Drosophila melanogaster: one gene and its partners. The protein of the gene in region 2 interacts with the protein of the main gene of each other region in a pairwise test. Each region holds a gene or a part of one and is shown on either strand. Other genes may lie near its edges.

Evidence for each region.
Region 1: the proteins of HP6 (region 2) and Odj interact in a two-hybrid assay, tested with the Drosophila melanogaster proteins (one study listed by BioGRID).
Region 3: the proteins of HP6 (region 2) and HP4 interact in a two-hybrid assay, tested with the Drosophila melanogaster proteins (2 studies listed by BioGRID).
Region 4: the proteins of HP6 (region 2) and HP5 interact in a two-hybrid assay, tested with the Drosophila melanogaster proteins (2 studies listed by BioGRID).

Annotation. Positions count from the first base shown.
Region 1 is NT_033777.3:17,806,871-17,810,937, forward strand, and holds Odj (oddjob), read right to left. Parts: upstream 2,353-4,067; 5' UTR 2,248-2,352; coding exon 2,131-2,247; intron 2,077-2,130; coding exon 1,346-2,076; intron 1,286-1,345; coding exon 1,166-1,285; intron 1,109-1,165; coding exon 784-1,108; 3' UTR 537-783; downstream 1-536. Other genes in the region: CG17801 (uncharacterized protein), read right to left, coding at 1-19, 77-199; Alg1 (ALG1, chitobiosyldiphosphodolichol beta-mannosyltransferase), read right to left, coding at 2,710-2,929, 2,988-3,548, 3,610-4,067.
Region 2 is NT_033779.5:4,577,167-4,580,026, forward strand, and holds HP6 (heterochromatin protein 6), read right to left. Parts: upstream 1,053-2,860; 5' UTR 938-1,052; coding exon 617-937; 3' UTR 553-616; downstream 1-552.
Region 3 is NT_037436.4:7,974,875-7,978,138, forward strand, and holds HP4 (heterochromatin protein 4), read right to left. Parts: upstream 1,281-3,264; 5' UTR 1,171-1,280; coding exon 888-1,170; coding exon of another isoform or gene 868-887; exon of another isoform or gene 814-867; coding exon 776-813; 3' UTR 564-775; downstream 1-563. Other genes in the region: CG8042 (uncharacterized protein), read right to left, coding at 1-27; CG8209 (uncharacterized protein), read left to right, coding at 1,651-1,700, 1,794-2,396, 2,453-2,795; POP4 ribonuclease P/MRP subunit, read right to left, coding at 3,111-3,264.
Region 4 is NC_004354.4:11,453,198-11,459,760, reverse strand, and holds HP5 (heterochromatin protein 5), read right to left. Parts: upstream 4,976-6,563; 5' UTR 4,685-4,975; coding exon 4,570-4,684; intron 4,480-4,569; coding exon 3,274-4,479; coding exon of another isoform or gene 3,248-3,273; exon of another isoform or gene 3,177-3,247; coding exon of another isoform or gene 3,145-3,176; exon of another isoform or gene 3,107-3,144; coding exon 1,997-3,106; intron 1,532-1,996; coding exon 1,449-1,531; 3' UTR 534-1,448; downstream 1-533.

The DNA of each region.
Region 1 (4,067 bases), on a different chromosome or scaffold from region 2:
GGCGTTCATTCTGTTCTAACTGTAAATGGAGTAAATGGGTTATGCCATTCACGCACACAAGAAACCATCAACATACCCATATTCCAGTGAGATCCTTGATCTTGGCCAGAACTTCCAGGCAAAAAATTATCGTGGGATTCAGGTGACAGAAACACGAGGCGCACAAATGGCATTGCGAAGGCTTTTTCATTTCAAACATATGATCATTTATCCCGCTGAATTCCCAAAACAATCAGCTGTAGTTTAATTGATTTTATGTTGTCAATTATGGAATAAAAACGGTAAAAGAGCGTACGCAATCCGAGAATTTCTGTTTACTCTCTCTAAGCAGCAAAATTTGTATGAATTACCTGTTTCATGGCGTTACCAGATAGGTGTGGAAAAACTAACTGTTCTTATTTCCTAGAAACCAGGGAACATCGAGCTAGTTTTTATAATTTAAAATTTATATATTATAAACGGGAGGTTAAATTTTCCCAAAAAGAGAGGTTCAAGCTAAAACACACGTTCGGCTAATTCCTGACGTTTTTGAAATTGGTTCCATATAATTTTTATTAAAATAAGCGCGCTGTGCAATTAGAATAAAATATATTTTATAACAAATTGTAATCTAAGACCGACGTTGAATTCCTTCCACACTGGTGCTAATCGTACGGCTGGCTGGTGATTCAAAGGATTTCTCTGAACCACCGAAAAAGTCAGATAGTTTGCATCCCTGGCATTGTGGCGTGTGGAGTGTGGAGTGTGTGGCGCCAACAGTCGATTTTTTTTGTGTGCTTAAAGTTAGGTGTACAGCTCCTCTCCATCGGGAATGGCTTCCTCGTACTCGAAGTCCTCAAAATTTGCGTCCTCATCCTGAAGTACCTCGTGGTCCTCATATTGTTCCTCGTCAATGTTATCTAACATTACGTCCAGTTCAGCCTGGTTGTCCTCCATTTCTGCCTGCCCCTCTTCCATATATCCCGGAAACTCCGCCGGATCGACTTCAGACTGGAATTCCTCTTTTGGACCATTAACCAGCAAGTTGACCCGCTTGCGGTGATACTTTGTGGAGTAGTGCCGATGCAAAAACTGCGCCTCCTTGAACTCCTTGTTGCATGTGAGGCAGCTGTGAAAGAATATGAGTTTGTACATCTATGGCTACGTATATTTCAATGATTCTTACATATGGACATCCGGTTGGTCACTCTTGTGCCCCTCCTCGTGCTTCAGCCGTCCCTTCTCGCTGTTGAATCGTTTGCCGCATATTTTGCACGGGTGCACCAGCTCGTTGGCATGCATTTGACTGTCAAGGTTTTTATGGTTTATATAGATAAGGACTTGTGATGATTAGGCCAGCACTCACCGTTCATGACGACAGCGGCTGGGACTATTGGCGAATCCCATACCGCAGAACTTGCAGACGTACGGTTTCTCGCCCTTGTGATGGACTCGAATGTGCAATCGGAGCAGTGGCATGGTGTAGAACTTGCGACCGCACTCGTCGCATGAAAACTTCTCCTCGAAGTGCCGCAGCTTGTGATCCTTCATGTTGCTGTGATCGTTGAACGACCAACCGCACTGGTCGCACACGTATCGCTTTATCGAGCGATCGACCTTGGGTTTTGGTCGCCGCTTTCTGGGCTTTCGGACGTGCTCCCGCGGAGGTGGCGGTGGACTATCTGCCTTCTCGACCACAGGCACACGAAGCCGCTTGACCCTGACTCGTGGGGACTGTCTGTTCGGGAAATTTTGGTCCTCGATCCGGATTTTTTTGGCCGGAGGATATCTTAAAATCGGCTTTTCGTCCTCCAAGAAATCCTTATCATCATCCATTAAATCCTTATCATCGTCCAGTAGCTCCTTATCGTCCTCGGTGTCTACTGTATCATCCAGCACCTCCCGTTTCAGCAGCGGATCACTAAGCACTGGCGAAACCTCCGGGGAGCCTTTTGAGGCGACACCCGCCTTCGAGGAGATCCTCTGGTGGAGATTTGCGTGCGTCTCCAGGCATCGCTGCCTGAAGGCTACGGCTTGGGTCAGGTCCAGGAGACAACAAGCGCATATGTGCTGGGGCAGCATATTCTCTAAAACGATCTGGAAATGCATAGATTATGAATAATTCCGGACAACAAATAAAAGGGACGCCACCTCTAAGCCCGTGATTTGCTCGATGGCCATCCGAATGCGATGATTGCGCTTCTCGAAGATGTTCTTTGGGTGCGGCGTGAAGATGCGCTCGCCGCAGATCCGACACTCGGTGCTCATTCTTTCGAAACTAAATAAAATTGATTAATTTTAATTACAAATTATAGTAATTTTTGCGCAGCCGGTTTGGTTTTGAAGTGTGACCGTTGTCCGCAACTAGAGGTGTCAAACATTGATGTTTTTAAAATTTTCCGATATATCGATGTTTATTTCAGACTATCGATATTGGTGTTCAAATAAAAAAAAATCGGCACTGCATCCCGTGAATTTTCTTTTTTAATTGAAATACATAATACTCCTAAGAAAACACGCTTTACAAGCGAATAAATAGTTGTATATATCTCCTTTTTTTAGCAATTTATTTTTATCTTTAGGCTACGATTATAAAAATAAAATAAGCATCATAAGCAAGTTTGAAGCTCTTTTGTGTACAGAATTTGTAGTAACTAGCCTAGAAAAAGCGATTAGCAATCAAAGGAAGTCTCTCATAACGTGTAATTGTCAAATCTTTGTCAAAATGCTCTATAGAAATGCCTCCAGTACGGGGGCCGCGATCAGGCGCCAACTCTCCCGCCATCGCAGCTCCTGGAACTCCTGGATTTTGCGCTGAAAACCAGCTCTTGTCTCCAGGATGCTGGGATTCTTTGGAAAATTTTCGAACCAAATCCTCAGCTGCTCGGCCAGCTGAACATGGTCGCCAAACACGAAGCCATTCTCGCCGTGCTTCACCAGCTCATCCAGGCTAAAGAGCCATTTGTAGAAGTTAGTAAGTAATAATAGTAAATGGCAGGATTAGTTACCACTTGAAATCGTAGGCGCAGACAGGCAGCCCGCTGCCGAACATGTCGACCACCTTCATGGGCAGGTCGAGCCCACTGGTGCTCCAGTGCAGACACACGCCCAGGTCGGCGCTGGCCAGAACAGTGGGGTAGTCCTCGATCTCTAGCCAGGGCGTGATCACCGACACCTTCTGCCATTGCAGCTTCTCGATCTCCGCCACATAGTGCTCCTTTTGTGGCCCCTTTCCGGTGATGATACACAGCAGGGAAGGATAAACCAACGGCTCTGCTTGCGCAGTCTCCTCGTAAGCTTGCAAAGCCTTAAGCAGTATACCGAAGTCCTCGTCCGGCGTCCAACTGGTGCTGGAAACCAGCACGGCTTGTCGCTGTGGTCTGTACTGCACAACACCGCTGGCCAGCTTTTGGGTAAGAGCGGTGGCCTCCAGAACATCGGATTGTTCGGCGTCCTTGGCCTGGAACTGTGGGTAGTCTTTGGCCAGCTTCAGGTACAGCTCGTGCTTGTGAGTCAAGTCGATGGGATGGAATTGCGCGGGCGCACGATCATACAGAACTTTGACAGGCCTGAAAGATGAGTCGCGGCTGAGTTATTTACTTCGTTTAGATGGATGTGATGAGGACTTACCCAATGCCCCAGTTTTGCTGCAGATCCTCTTGCATGGCCCGCGTCACACAGAAGTGTGTGTGTGCCTTGGAGCCGAAGTATCGCTCCAGTCGCCTAACCAATCGTATTAGAGGACTCTGCTCTCCCTTCGACATTCCCAATGCCAGCACTGTGTACGTGTAGTTGTGCCAATCGATGGCCAGCTTGGTTCGTGTGACCGCACAGTACAGATAGCACACAATCAGCGTGGGAATGCCGGGCGGATTCTGGACGAGTAGGAAGCTGGGACGGCCAATGGAGATGAGAGCCATCAGCAGACTGAGCGTCTGCCAAAAGGCCTTGAAGAGCAGGCGCAGTTTGGGTGTTAGGTTCGTCACTGGGACGGCAGTTAGCTCGTGGATTCGGCAACGTGGATGTTGAGTCAGTTCCTCCAGCGGCCTCGTCTCCAGATACCCAATCATGTCCACGTGGTAGTTCTC
Region 2 (2,860 bases):
CCACCTGCTGGTGGGCCCCTCAATTAATTATACTTTTTCAATGTCAAAATGTCGCTGCAAGAAAGGTGCGCCACCAATTTAACCCTTTTTTTTATGTACGTATTAGTTGACTGCGTGAATCTTGAGGCGCCTGCAACATGGAATCTGAGAGCTGAGTCTGATCCTGCGGCTTAACCTTCTTTTCTAATTGCAGGTTTTCCAACGCCCCGATGTGAAGGTCACTGACAGCATTAAGTGCACTGGAAAAAGTTTAATGAGGCAAGTGCACCATTTATGAACTGTTTTTTTTATGAACTTTCAAATACCCCTACAGACTTTTCGCTCGGTGTATACATACACGTATAATTTCGCGCCCGGCAGATAATGCCGCCGGCCTGTCTCCAACATCAAGCTGCGTCTAGGAGGCGGAGGGCGTGGCTGGGCCGAGCTAAACTCACTTATTCACCTGCCCGCATGCCAACAAAGTGCAGCATCAGCAACCAGTTCGCATGAAAATGCATAATCAATCACCAGCGACAACGGCGACCAGAAAATGAAGAAAAACTCGTGGCAGAAGAGTCAATACTCTTTATTGACATTGCACCGCAATGTCTTCGGTGCACAATAGTTTTATGGACTAGGCATTTCGTGATCGTTTCTTCCTGGGACTCGGAGTGGTCTCATACCCATTGTCCGACTCCAAGTCTTCTTCATCGCCCTCATCCGTGAACACAATACGCTCCTCGTAGAACGAGATGACCATTTGGGGGCACCGAACGTTGAGCACTTCGGCGGGCACCAGGCCGGCTTCGTCGCAACCCTTCCACTGCATCAAAAAGGTCAGCTTACCGGACCAGTTGCAGGCTCCTAAGATCCGCAACGGTTCGAGTCCAAGATCAAATCCATTTCGTTGCTTCACCGGAAGAGCAGTAGAGGACGTCAAAGTGGAGCTGGGCATCTTCCGTTTGGTTTTAGATATCGTGGGATTTATTTCAATGTAATCTATTTTTCTTTTTTCGACGCGCGTAGCCAATTGTCACGTTTTGTCAAGTGTTTACACACCGAGATATTATTTTTCAGTTTCGATAACTGTAGGTATCGACATGCTTTGGCAACCCTTTCGATGTGGCAGCCCTAAATGATTAATTTGAAAAGCGTTAGAGAAAATGGAAATAAAATTGTACACTCCCCTTGACTGGACATATTCTTTCAGATTTAGTTAGGGTATTGTGCATTCCAACGCCCATTGAGCGTATCATTGGTGCATCTTCATCTGACATTTCGCACGACTCGAATGTCAAGGCGCGATTGCCGGCGATACTACTTGCGATATTGGCCTCTTACGCGGCTCCACTTGTTAACTTGAATTCGTGTAAAGTGGCCGCTCATTAAAAACTCATAAATCAGGGCGGAAGGGAGGAGGGTTTTCGGTGGCACCGCCGCCAGTAATTGCCGTTGCTGGCCCAGTGTCAAAATAAAGGCAAAATAAAGGAACCCAACTCGTCGGCGGAAATGATCGGCCACCAGGTGATGGGGATGGTGGGAATGGGGCATATGGATACTACAGCTAGCTGCCAGTAATTTCCGCATATTGGAAGTCTCGTACTCTCAGATGGGCATGTGATTAATGATTAATCTGCTCGGTGCATCCGCCGCTATGACATTTAGCCAACGCCGCCTGAGAACCCGCTGCAGCAACAAAAAGAATCCGATTCGGAATCAGAAACAGAAACAGAAGTCGGTGGCGGGGTGGCCAGTTAAAGCCGAGGTCTCCGGTCGCCAGTTGGAGCCATTAAACGCCGCTGGAGCTGCTTGGGCGCACAATTTAAAGCAGCAACTAACGCAGTTAGACAACAAACCACTTTCAAGAGCTGGCTGGCAAACAGGGAAAACGGCTTTCAACTCGTTTCGCTGCCCGCTCAGATGCAGTTGCATACACTGAGGAAAGTGATGTATGAGTTCTTCAATTTAATCGATTTTTGTGTAAGAATATTTGGCTCGGTGTGTATGTATTCCAGAAAAATAATTAATTCCAAAAGTATTTAGAAACAACATAAACTTTTTCTACATTTTCCAAAAGCTTTTATATTTAAGAACATATATATTATTAGTTTTTCATAGGAAATAATTTTCCTTCTCAAAACATATTTTTTCAAGTGTACTGCCGTTAATGCTGCTGATGCCGTGGGTGCAGCCGTTGAATGTTGCATGCTGCTAGTACGTTCAACTTTTGCAGTTAACAGTTAGATTTTGAAATGGCCAGCAGCACTGGCATCGTCGTCGGCAATGGTATCGGTTCTCTGGGATTCCAGTTTTCTGGCCACAGCCTGAGAACCCGGCGATCAAGATGCGCGGCTCCACCACGACGGAAGGAAATTGCCGTCCAAGGCGAAGTCACAGCTCCGATCGCAGCATTGCGCACATCAAATAAATACTGGTACTTGGCAATTTTTGTGTTAAAACAAAATTAAAGCAATGCCAGCCGTGCTGCTCTGCGGTGTAACATTAACCCAAATACATAATTCCCATTCTCGCCTCATCGGCATCGGACAAGGATCGGCGCATTAATCATTGGACGGCAGGGGGACAGCTCTTGGGAAGCGGCAGCATATTTGGGTTTATGGGTGAGCCCCAGTATCCTAAGCAGGAAATCATTAGAGTGCGATCCAAGGAATCCGCAGGGGTTTGGCTCATGCATACATACTTATACGTATTTCTTGGGAATTTTTTTATAGATCTTGGCTCTGCCTGATGGTCGGTTTCTAAGCCATCAAGCGGAGATCATCGCGTGACTGGGCAACAAAAACCCATTATAAATTCCTCACATTTATGATGTGTCCTTCTGTCAGCGATGATAAAAGATCCTACCAATCTGTTCTAG
Region 3 (3,264 bases), on a different chromosome or scaffold from region 2:
CGCAATGTTGCCCTTGTGCCAGTTCATGTTTGGTGTTGGAATAACGACTCGGTTCGGATACGGGTAATTTTGTCTGTTTTTGTTATTCCAGAAATATTTTTCTGCCGACAGCTGACTCCCGGGTATCGATATATAGATCTGTCGATAAGTGGTCTAAAAATATATGTTTTTAAATAAAAATAATTATTTTAAAATATTTAATGTTCTTTTATTCCCGTTTTTAAAGAGTGAAGTGTTGTATATTTATTTTACCAAAGTTTTAAATGAAAAGCTGATATCTAATGGTCGATAACACAACTCGATAAAATCTTATTGCCGCCATTTTTTAAATTCATTTTTTGAAATTTTGTGAATATTCTAGAAATTCCAAAAAAATACAACAATTCCTTACAAATTTAATCAAACATTTGTTGTTGTAAAAAATCACAGCACATACAATTATATGCCGATGAAATTATCCATATGAAATGGTCTACATAATAAATCCTATCTGGTATATAAAATAAAGTGGATTCAAGTTTGCTAGATAACTTATAGCTAAATATGAAAAACAAGAGAAAATTCTATTTAGGCGCACGAGTTTGTATTAAGAAATCGAGCTTGATTTGCATAAAGTCTTAGATAAGGATCTTATACATATATATTCAGGAAAAGGATAGCCCCGCACATCTATTTGGTTTATCTTGGACATGTACTCTGTGTACTTCGAATGACTCCAAGTGCGATTAGAAGTTTGTCAGCTGGATGCGTTGATTGCTCTTTGAGTATGAGACGACTAGATTGTCAGATTAGACTCCTGATCGCTGCCACTATCTGTAAGGATAACATGAAGAAGAATGCTTTAAAGTAGTCTGTGGCGTAGGTTCCCTAGAAGACCTGGCACCTACTCTCGTCAATGTCGGAATTCATGATGGAACTGGCCGGTGTCACGGAAATCTCGCTGCGCTCCACGTCCGGCAGTCGGGCTACACGTACAATGCATCTCTTGGGCTTCGGTTTTAACGGGAATGGACGGGAATTCGGAGAAGTCGACGACTTGATGCGCTCCAGATTCACGCGACACTTTCGGACCTGGTACTCCACCTCGCGCTCCACGCTCCGTTCGCCCTGCACATTGAAGTAGGGATGGCGCGGAATCTTGACGATCATTTTTTTAGTCTTCGGTGACATGGTTTTGATTATAAAATTGTTGAAATTTCTCTTTCAAAGTCGAAAAAACCTATCTCCGTAGACGCCAAATTTGCAGAGTTGGTAAACGTCGCAGGCAACCTCGAACTATCTATGGTGGTGGTGGCACTACACTACTCGAAAATGATGGGTAGATTTCAGCTATATGGAATGCTTATTTAAAAGTATGTGTAATATCTATAAAAAAAATTAAAAGAATTATGGAATGTATTTGGTTGTCCGCTCCTTGTCTTAATTTATTTACTATATATTTAAAATTTATATTATATTTAAAACTATTTATTTATCATTTTTGTTTGCCATAGCTGCAACTATTGCATTACACCGATATATACCACGGGTCGAGCTATCGATAGTTATCCATCTCGCCTGGCTTTGTTTTTGTGTGTCATTGTTAATTTTTCGTTTTCATAAATATACGAAACTGAACTATTAATTTTTGGGACGCAATCAGCCAACGCTATGAGTGAAGTGCAGACATTGATGGATATGGGATTCCCTCGGGAACGTGTGTAAGTATCGAATACAATGGCCAACTGGTCACCGGCAAAATAAGTTACACTGCAACAATCGAATTTGCTTTAATCCTGAAATATATTTCACAGTGAATATGCACTGGAGGTGACCAGTAACAAGGGCGTAGAACCGGCAATGGAGTGGCTGCTGGCCCACGTGGATGATCCAATACCATCCCGTCAAGGTGCCGGCGAATCCCCTGGTTCCACAGCTCAACCAGCTGCGGCTGTGGATTCCTCGGCCGCAGCAGCTTCCAGTAGCACCAGTGGCGCAGGTGAAACCTCTGCTCCGGTAGCCAAGTCCCTGAAGTGCGACGAATGCGGCAAAGTTCTTAGAGATCACACCGAAGTGGAGTACCATGCCGCCAAAACCGGTCACACCAAATTCTCCGAATCGGAGGAGGAAAAGAAGGCGCTCACCGAGGAGGAGAAGAAGGCCCAGCTGGCCCTCATCGAGGAGAAGCTCAAGCAGAAACGCATCGAACGCGAGGAGCGCGAGAAAATCGAAGCCCTGCAGCGGGAAAAGAATCGCATCAAGTCCGGCAAGGACATGACCGAGGCCAAGCGGCGCATGGAGGAGTTGGAGATGAAGAAGATCGTTGAGCAGCGCAAGCGCGAAAAGGACGAGGAGAAGGCGGCCCGCGATCGGGTAAAGGCTCAAATTGAGGCGGACAAGGCAGCACGCAAGGCTAGGTAAGGATTAGCCCTATCCTTCCACTTCATAATTCATTATAATTCATGGTATGCAGAGAACAAAAGGAATTGGGCAACGCAGAGCCAGCTCCATCCGTGAGCTCCACCACAGTTTCGTCACCACCGGCCGGTGTGAAATCTCCGCCGCGAGACTACACCGAAACCCGCATCCAGGTGCGCCTGCAGGATGGCTCAACACTACAGGAAACCTTCAACGTCAAGGAGCAGCTGTCCGCCGTACGTGTGTTCATCCAGATGAAGACCGGCATCGAGTCGCCCTTCTCTCTGATGACCACCTTTCCGCGCAAGCTGTTCGCCGAGGACGACTACGAGAAGCCGCTGGAAGTGCTCGGCTTGGTTCCATCCGCTGTCATCACCATGACCAAGACGCCCGCATAAATCTTTCCTACAAACTGGATATATTTGAATCCGGGTAATCTCTCCCATAAACTAGAACCTAAATACGAAAAAAACGCGGCGCGAAATATACCCCCCCCCCCCCAAAAAAAAAAAAAAAAAACAAGAAAAACAATTAATGTACGGTTTTATATATATATTAAACACAACAATCTCAAATACAAGTAAAGTTTTAGAGGATCTTTGAGGGCAATTATTAAATTTCTATTGAAAAGCGATGCTAACTTTCCAATAAACTTTTTTCCTTAAATTACAATAGGATTCAATTTCTATGGCTAATGATTGGTCCTGTAGTTCCTACATGAAGGGCTTCACAAAGTTCTTGATCTTCTTAACGCTTCGCTCGGCGGGTCGAATGTTGAGGTGCTGCCCGAATATGGTGAACTCCATGTTGCCCACTTTCATACCAAAGACGCACTCGCTCTTGGGTATTGTGCGCAGCCGATGGTCC
Region 4 (6,563 bases), on a different chromosome or scaffold from region 2:
TTTGGTTTTCAGGGGCCCGGCCCGCTTTGGTCCTGTGAGTTCAACATTTCGGGGGCACGTCTCACGCAAAGGGGCAACTTTTGAAATAGTTCGCACTCGCGCCAAACGATCTGGAATTTTGACGCGGCCCCAGAATCCCGAGGAGAACCAACCGTCAACAAGTCAAAGTTGCGACTGTTTTGCTTTTGGCGCTGCATTGGATACGCGGGGCTCTGCATGAAAGGTGGCCACCTTTGGGGGCAAGCGTGTGGCAACATGTGGCAACGTTGGCCGCGAAACTGAACGAACGTAAAATCGTTGCATAAATTCGAAATAATACTTATTATAATAAGAATATATAAGAACGGAAACGCTGAGCGATGGTTGCTTGTGTATAGAAACATTTTATTATATTAATTATATAATAGAACATTAATAAAAACGAGCTTAAGTTATCCTGTGATTGATAAATATATCAGAAAGTTAAGTGTGTGTTGTTCATAAAGCAAGATAACATCTTTCCATTTATCTATTCAAATTAGTCACAAAAAAATCTCTTTCTAGCACATTAAATTTATTCAATCTGTATAAATTAACTGTAGAATATTCTGTGAAAAAAAAAACATGTTAGGTAATAAAAATAACATCATTTTTACATAGCTTAAAATAAACGGTACAAGACTTTTCACAATATGGCAACGTCAATGTTCGAATGTGGCAACATCTTCAAATGGCGGCAAATTTCGAAAAAGTTTCTCAGCCAATCCCATTGAAAACTGGCAACATATTTTATCCATTTTTAATCTGTTTTCTTTTTACATACATACATTTTATGATGATGATGTACATTAATACATTGAACTTACAGTACATTTAAGACGATCCATACTTAAATATATATATTTATATTTATATATGTGCATGAACGCAAGTGTTTCTTAAATCTAAGTTGTCAAAAAAAAAAAGGATGAGAAACGAACAATACGTATTCTTGAAAGTCAAACTAACGTAACGCTCTGTTTAAGTAGCTTAAACATTGAAAATTGATTTTCTGATTCCGCTTAACCGTTAATAATATTAAAATATTAATTTTTACGGTCTATCGCACACATTTGCAAGTTGAGTGAGTGAGCTGTGTTAAATTTTGTCCCTGTTTTGCTGACTAATTTAGCAATCATATAAGTGCAAAATATTAACGTTTGCACCAATAGCTTTCTCTTGCAAAAATACTTTGGTATTTTCAACGTGAGTTTGCATATAAATTGAATATGTCTTTAAAAATAAACGTAAGACTACTTCTTGATCGTAGGGAGAACTAATTATAAATTCAGTTAAATGTACAAATTAATCGGTCCTTAATAAACCTACGTGTGTGCGTGTGAGTTTGTAGCTATGTCTGTGTCTGTGTGTATGCTTCGGTTTCGATCTGTATCTGTCTATCTGTACTTGGTGCGCAATTTGCCAGCTTACTACGATTCTAACGCGGTCATTATTTCGTCCAGTGTACCCCTCGAGATGGCATGGCGGCTGGAGTTCAACTGAAAGTTGGGTTCTAAAAGGCATAAGCAGAGCAAATAGTTATTAGAAGGTGCATTCAAATTAACATTTACGAAAGTATGAAATATAAGCAAGTTCAAATTGCAACTGGAAATTGTGCATTGCCTATACACTTACACTTAATTAAGATACCCAGACTTAGAGAAGACCAGAGAAAGTACAAAAAATGCCTATTAAGTAGTTGTTTTAATGACAAATGTACGCAACGGGCGAATGTTCATTAAATCAATCAATGGAATGCTTGACCAATGACCAAGTGTCACTAGAGCTTTAACGTAAGAGTTTTTGGCCTCACAAAATAGAGAAGTTTCGTGAAAAGCGAGACTACTTGGCAAGAATTAAAGTAGAAAATGACGTACTTTACTGTCTTGAAGACTTAACAGTCCCCACTTGTACTCCCTAAGTATTCATGCTATTATTTGAGATTGCCTTGCGATGGAGGCGATCGTCTGGCACTCACCGGATAGCTGGTCCATGATGACGTCATCTAGCGTGGCCATGGGATCCTCCATGGGCGAGTAGTATGTCGTTGCCGTTGATCTGGATTCGCTGGTGGGTTCACCATTCACTGTCCTGGGCGCCGAGGGCGGGGTCATAAGCTCGGCCGGCAGTTCGGGTGAATCGATGGGATCACCGATGATGGTTGCTGCTGTTTGTTGATCCTCGTCATCGTTCGGCGCTTTGCTTGCTTTCTGCTCTGTTTCCTCAATGGCTTGTCCAGCTAGCAGCTTGGCGTTATCGCTGGCGGACTTAAAGCTGCAATCGGAGTCACCGGAATCGAGGCGACTGCGCGATTTGGGCGTACTCTGGCGGGATGATGGCGTATGCAATTGACGGACATCGTCCAACGACGTCTGGATCTCCAGCACGTCATCTTCGTTATCGTCAGTTGTGGACGGGAGCTGTGGTGGGGTCGGCAAGTCACTGAACTCCTCGGCATGCTCGACCTCGTCCTCTACTTTCTCAACCCTGTCTTCGTTCGTTGGTTTTTCTAAAGATTTGACGGCGTTATCGCTGATTTCAGCTGCATTTTCCTCCAGATTTTTCTCGTCCTCGTCTAGCAAAACTTCTTCTCGAGCATCTTCCGATTTTTCCTCCGAATTGTCAGCCTCTTTTAACTCTGGCATATCTTTTACTACTTTTTTTTCCTTCGCCTCATCTGTATTTTTCTCTGTTGCATCCACAAATTGTTCTTCTCTATCTCTTTCTACTTCATTTGTCTCAGTTTCGTGTGCGTCTCCCTCTCGCTCATTCGTTTCGATTTCCTTCACTGGTGGTTTGATTTCGACATCAGGATCGGAGGATTCAATTTCCACAACTGGTGAGTTTTCCGTTTTTTTCTCCTTTTTCGTTTGCATTTTGTCAGTCGTCTCCTTTTCGTTTAGCATCTTGTCCGTCTTTTTGTTTGATCTTTCTTTTAGGGGTTTTGGCTGCTTTTTTTGTGCATCCTTCTGCTTTTTTAGTACCGGCTTTTCGTCCTCATCATCACTGATGGTCGTGGTGAAGGATATCTTCTTTTTCTTGGGCGGAGGCGTTCCAGATCTCTGGGACCCCGGCACATCGTTGGGCACTGGACGTAAAAATGGAGAGAATTGCATTAGTTTTAGCTCAATTCTTCTTTAATTTGATTTGGTCAAATCCTGTCATAAAAATAACGAAATCATTTAATACAAAATGAGACATGATTAATGCGATTACATCGAGTTTGATGTCAGTTTAATAAGTGCATCCTCCTACCTATATACTCCTCATCGTCATCATCATTATCTCCACCTCCATCAGACCTGGAGGAGCTGTTGTCTATGCTTAGGCGGCCCAACCTGCGTAACTTGAGCCTTCCGACCACAGGCGTACCGTTGCATGAGCGGCGCCTAACCCGCTCGCGCGAGCCTCCAGAAGATGACGAGAAGAGCGGCGTGGAGGTCAGTGCTATGTCCTCCAGCACATTGCCAGTGGCATCCACACGCTGCAGTCGTGTCGGTTTCGGAGCTCCTCTCGATGAAAGCGAACCGAAAGTAGACCGACGTGATGGACCCCCGGGGCTGCCCAGAATCTCGACGGCCTCGCTGAAGGATACCGCCTTCTTGGGATACACCTTCCTGACAACTCCGTCGCCAATGGGAGGCGGTTTGCAGTCAGGCCACTTGGCACTTGGTAAACGCGTCCTCCTCACCTTCACCACACAGCCAAAGAAATGCGCGCCATAACGCTTAACCAAATCCGGATCGGTGTTGCGTCCGCGACTGGATAATCTCTTCGCCTTGATCTTGGGCTTGGGACTTCGCTTCAGTGCGGAGTGTGTGCTTTCAGAACTCTTGGCCAAACTGGGCGGCGGTGTATGAGCGCGCAACGAGTGGTTCAGAGCACGCTTTTTGGCGCCATTCTGCAAAGGAACTTTGATGTGGAAATTGGTCTGCGCTGTTGATGACTTTTGTTTCTTAGGTGACGTTTTTCTCTTTTTGTGCCTGCTACGGCCACTAGTACCGCTCTGGTTAACGATCTCGGGCACATTGATAAATGATGAATTGGCCAAAGATTCGACGGCCGAATCGATTTCTGTCTGTTTCAGGCGACGTAATAGCACCCGCACCTTTCTTTTAACATTCGGCGACTGCTGATCGCTGAACATCTTTTGCTGAGCCTTCGTCTTGGTGGGAACGACCACCATCGATTGCTGGTCCTCCTCGATGGCCTCGCCGTCGTCGTCAATGGACACTTTTGGCCTCTTGTTGTGCGGCGTCGATGCAGAGACAGTGGATTTCCTGCTTTTGTTTGGTTTTGAGTTAGCCACGCTCTTACGCTTCCTCTTGGCCAATGACTCGTCGAGATGGTCGAATGATGTTTCCGAATCAAACAGATCAATGCTGCACTGTTCGACATTCTTTGATTTTCTCGACATGCGCAAGTCATTCTCGTCCAATTGGTTTCCACTCTCCAGGAGGTCTGACAGAAAATGGAAAAAACGATTGGAGGTTATTAAACTTCTAGGATTGCCAGCCAATTTGCAGGCAAACAAAATTATGCTCAATTTACCATTTACGTCGATTGGCGAATCGGGCGGTATGGGCGACGGAGTGGAGAGCTTGGTGTCCACCGGATTAATAGTTTGCGGCGGCGGCGCCGCTTTGACCATATCAAAAATATCCATTATCGCAGGTTTCAGCCCTTTGCGATTTTCCCACGAAAATGAAAATTAGCAAAGAGCGCAGATTTACCGCTTTAAAATATACGGTTAATATGCGCTTACAGATGTGTGTTTTGCGCAATTAGTGAGGCCACTGTACCACGGACTAATTGTGGCGCGAGGAGCACTCGATTTGCCCACTTAATCAGCAGATGCGACTTTTAAAATCGCGTTTGCATTCAGGTAACTTTCCTGATTAATTTTACACACTCCTAAAGACGCCATCTAGCTGGTGTGCCCGTGCGCAGATACCGCGAAAATATTTCACCGCCTCGGCGCATTTTTATGGGTTATTTATGTCGCCAACAATCATTAACCACAAAATGTATTTTAAATTTATCAACAAATAGCCTATTTCCTATCATTAAACGACAAAGATCTTATGGACACTTTTCATCAATGGAATGCTGAACAACAACTTATTACTCTGAGCAACATAACTCCATTAAGATTCATACTTATCTCATATGGTTGAATGTTTCAAAATCATTTACAAACATGTAATAACAGCACTTGCAGCCCACTGTACAGGTTTGAGTCTGTGCTAAACAGCTATCATTGGTATTTTTGGTATTATTCAAATAATCGATAATGCAGTAGAAACTTTTCTATCGGTTATCAGCTATCTGCGCTTCAGAGAATTTTAGTATATGGTAATACTTATTTAGCGGCTTACTTCAGCTTTTGCGCGACGGTCACACCGCCAGTGGGCGAAAAAAAACATTCGTGAATTCACCGTCGTCGAACGAACGCTGTATTTTTTTCCAGTGCAATATTCGGTCGATGTATAACGAGTGATTGAATTAAAGTAGTCCTTTTAAAAAAAGTACTAGTATTTAAATAAAAATAAAGTCATACAGAACAGCATAGGGAGAGAGGGCGAGAGAAAAAATTGCTGCTGCTGAGGTGTGTGCAATTGCCTGTGCGTGTGTGTGTGTGTGTGTTTGTGTGACGTTTACAGCAGCAAAAAGTTCGGTAGTGTCGTCAAAATAATCGTGTATTATAAAGTTAATGCAAACGATTCTCGATCGGATACGAGTTGATCGCGACATATTGAGTTCGTCGAATGTGGAAAAGTCTAGCTGATTGAAAACGAAACGCGGATAAAAAAAAAACGATAAACAACGGCAATTTGTTGCTGCCGCAACAGCAACAACAACAGCAGCAGCGCACTAACGCAACCACCACCACCCCCTGTTCCAGCCTAACGGTTCATTTACAGTGGCCGAAGAAGCAGCAGCAAAGGTGAGGTTCCAGCATCTTTATTTATATTTTATGTGTCGTTCTTCTTCATCATCTTTACTTCTTCCGTAAAAAAACTCAATGTGTGTGTGTAAACATTATCAACGAAAAAAGTGGAGTGGGAAAAAATACAGAAACTTTCTTTCGCTGTCTGTGTGGGTTTATGCTCGCGTGTGTGTGTCTGTTGCTACCTTTTTTTTTTTACAAATTAGCGAAGCAGCAAAAGAAAATCGGGTACAACTAATTTTGTATGCTTAAATTTCGCGCATTAATGTAATTAAAAGCGTCCATTGTCCATTGTTCATCGCTCATTGTCCATCATCATTCATCATCGTTCATCATCGTTCTTTGCAGCTTCGCTGAGCAACAACAACAACAATGACAACAGGGCAGCCCTGCTCTTACTTCCTTTTCCATTTCCATTCCTATTGCCATTCCCATTGCTCATTTCCCATTGCCCGCTTCCCTTTCCCAATTCCTCTTTCCCAATTCGCTTTGCTCTTCCACTCCCACCGCATCAGCTGCTCCTGCCACTAGTTGTTGTTGTTGTTCCTGCTCTGTTGTAACCTTGTCTTGCTCTCCTTTCCTTTGCTTTCCACCC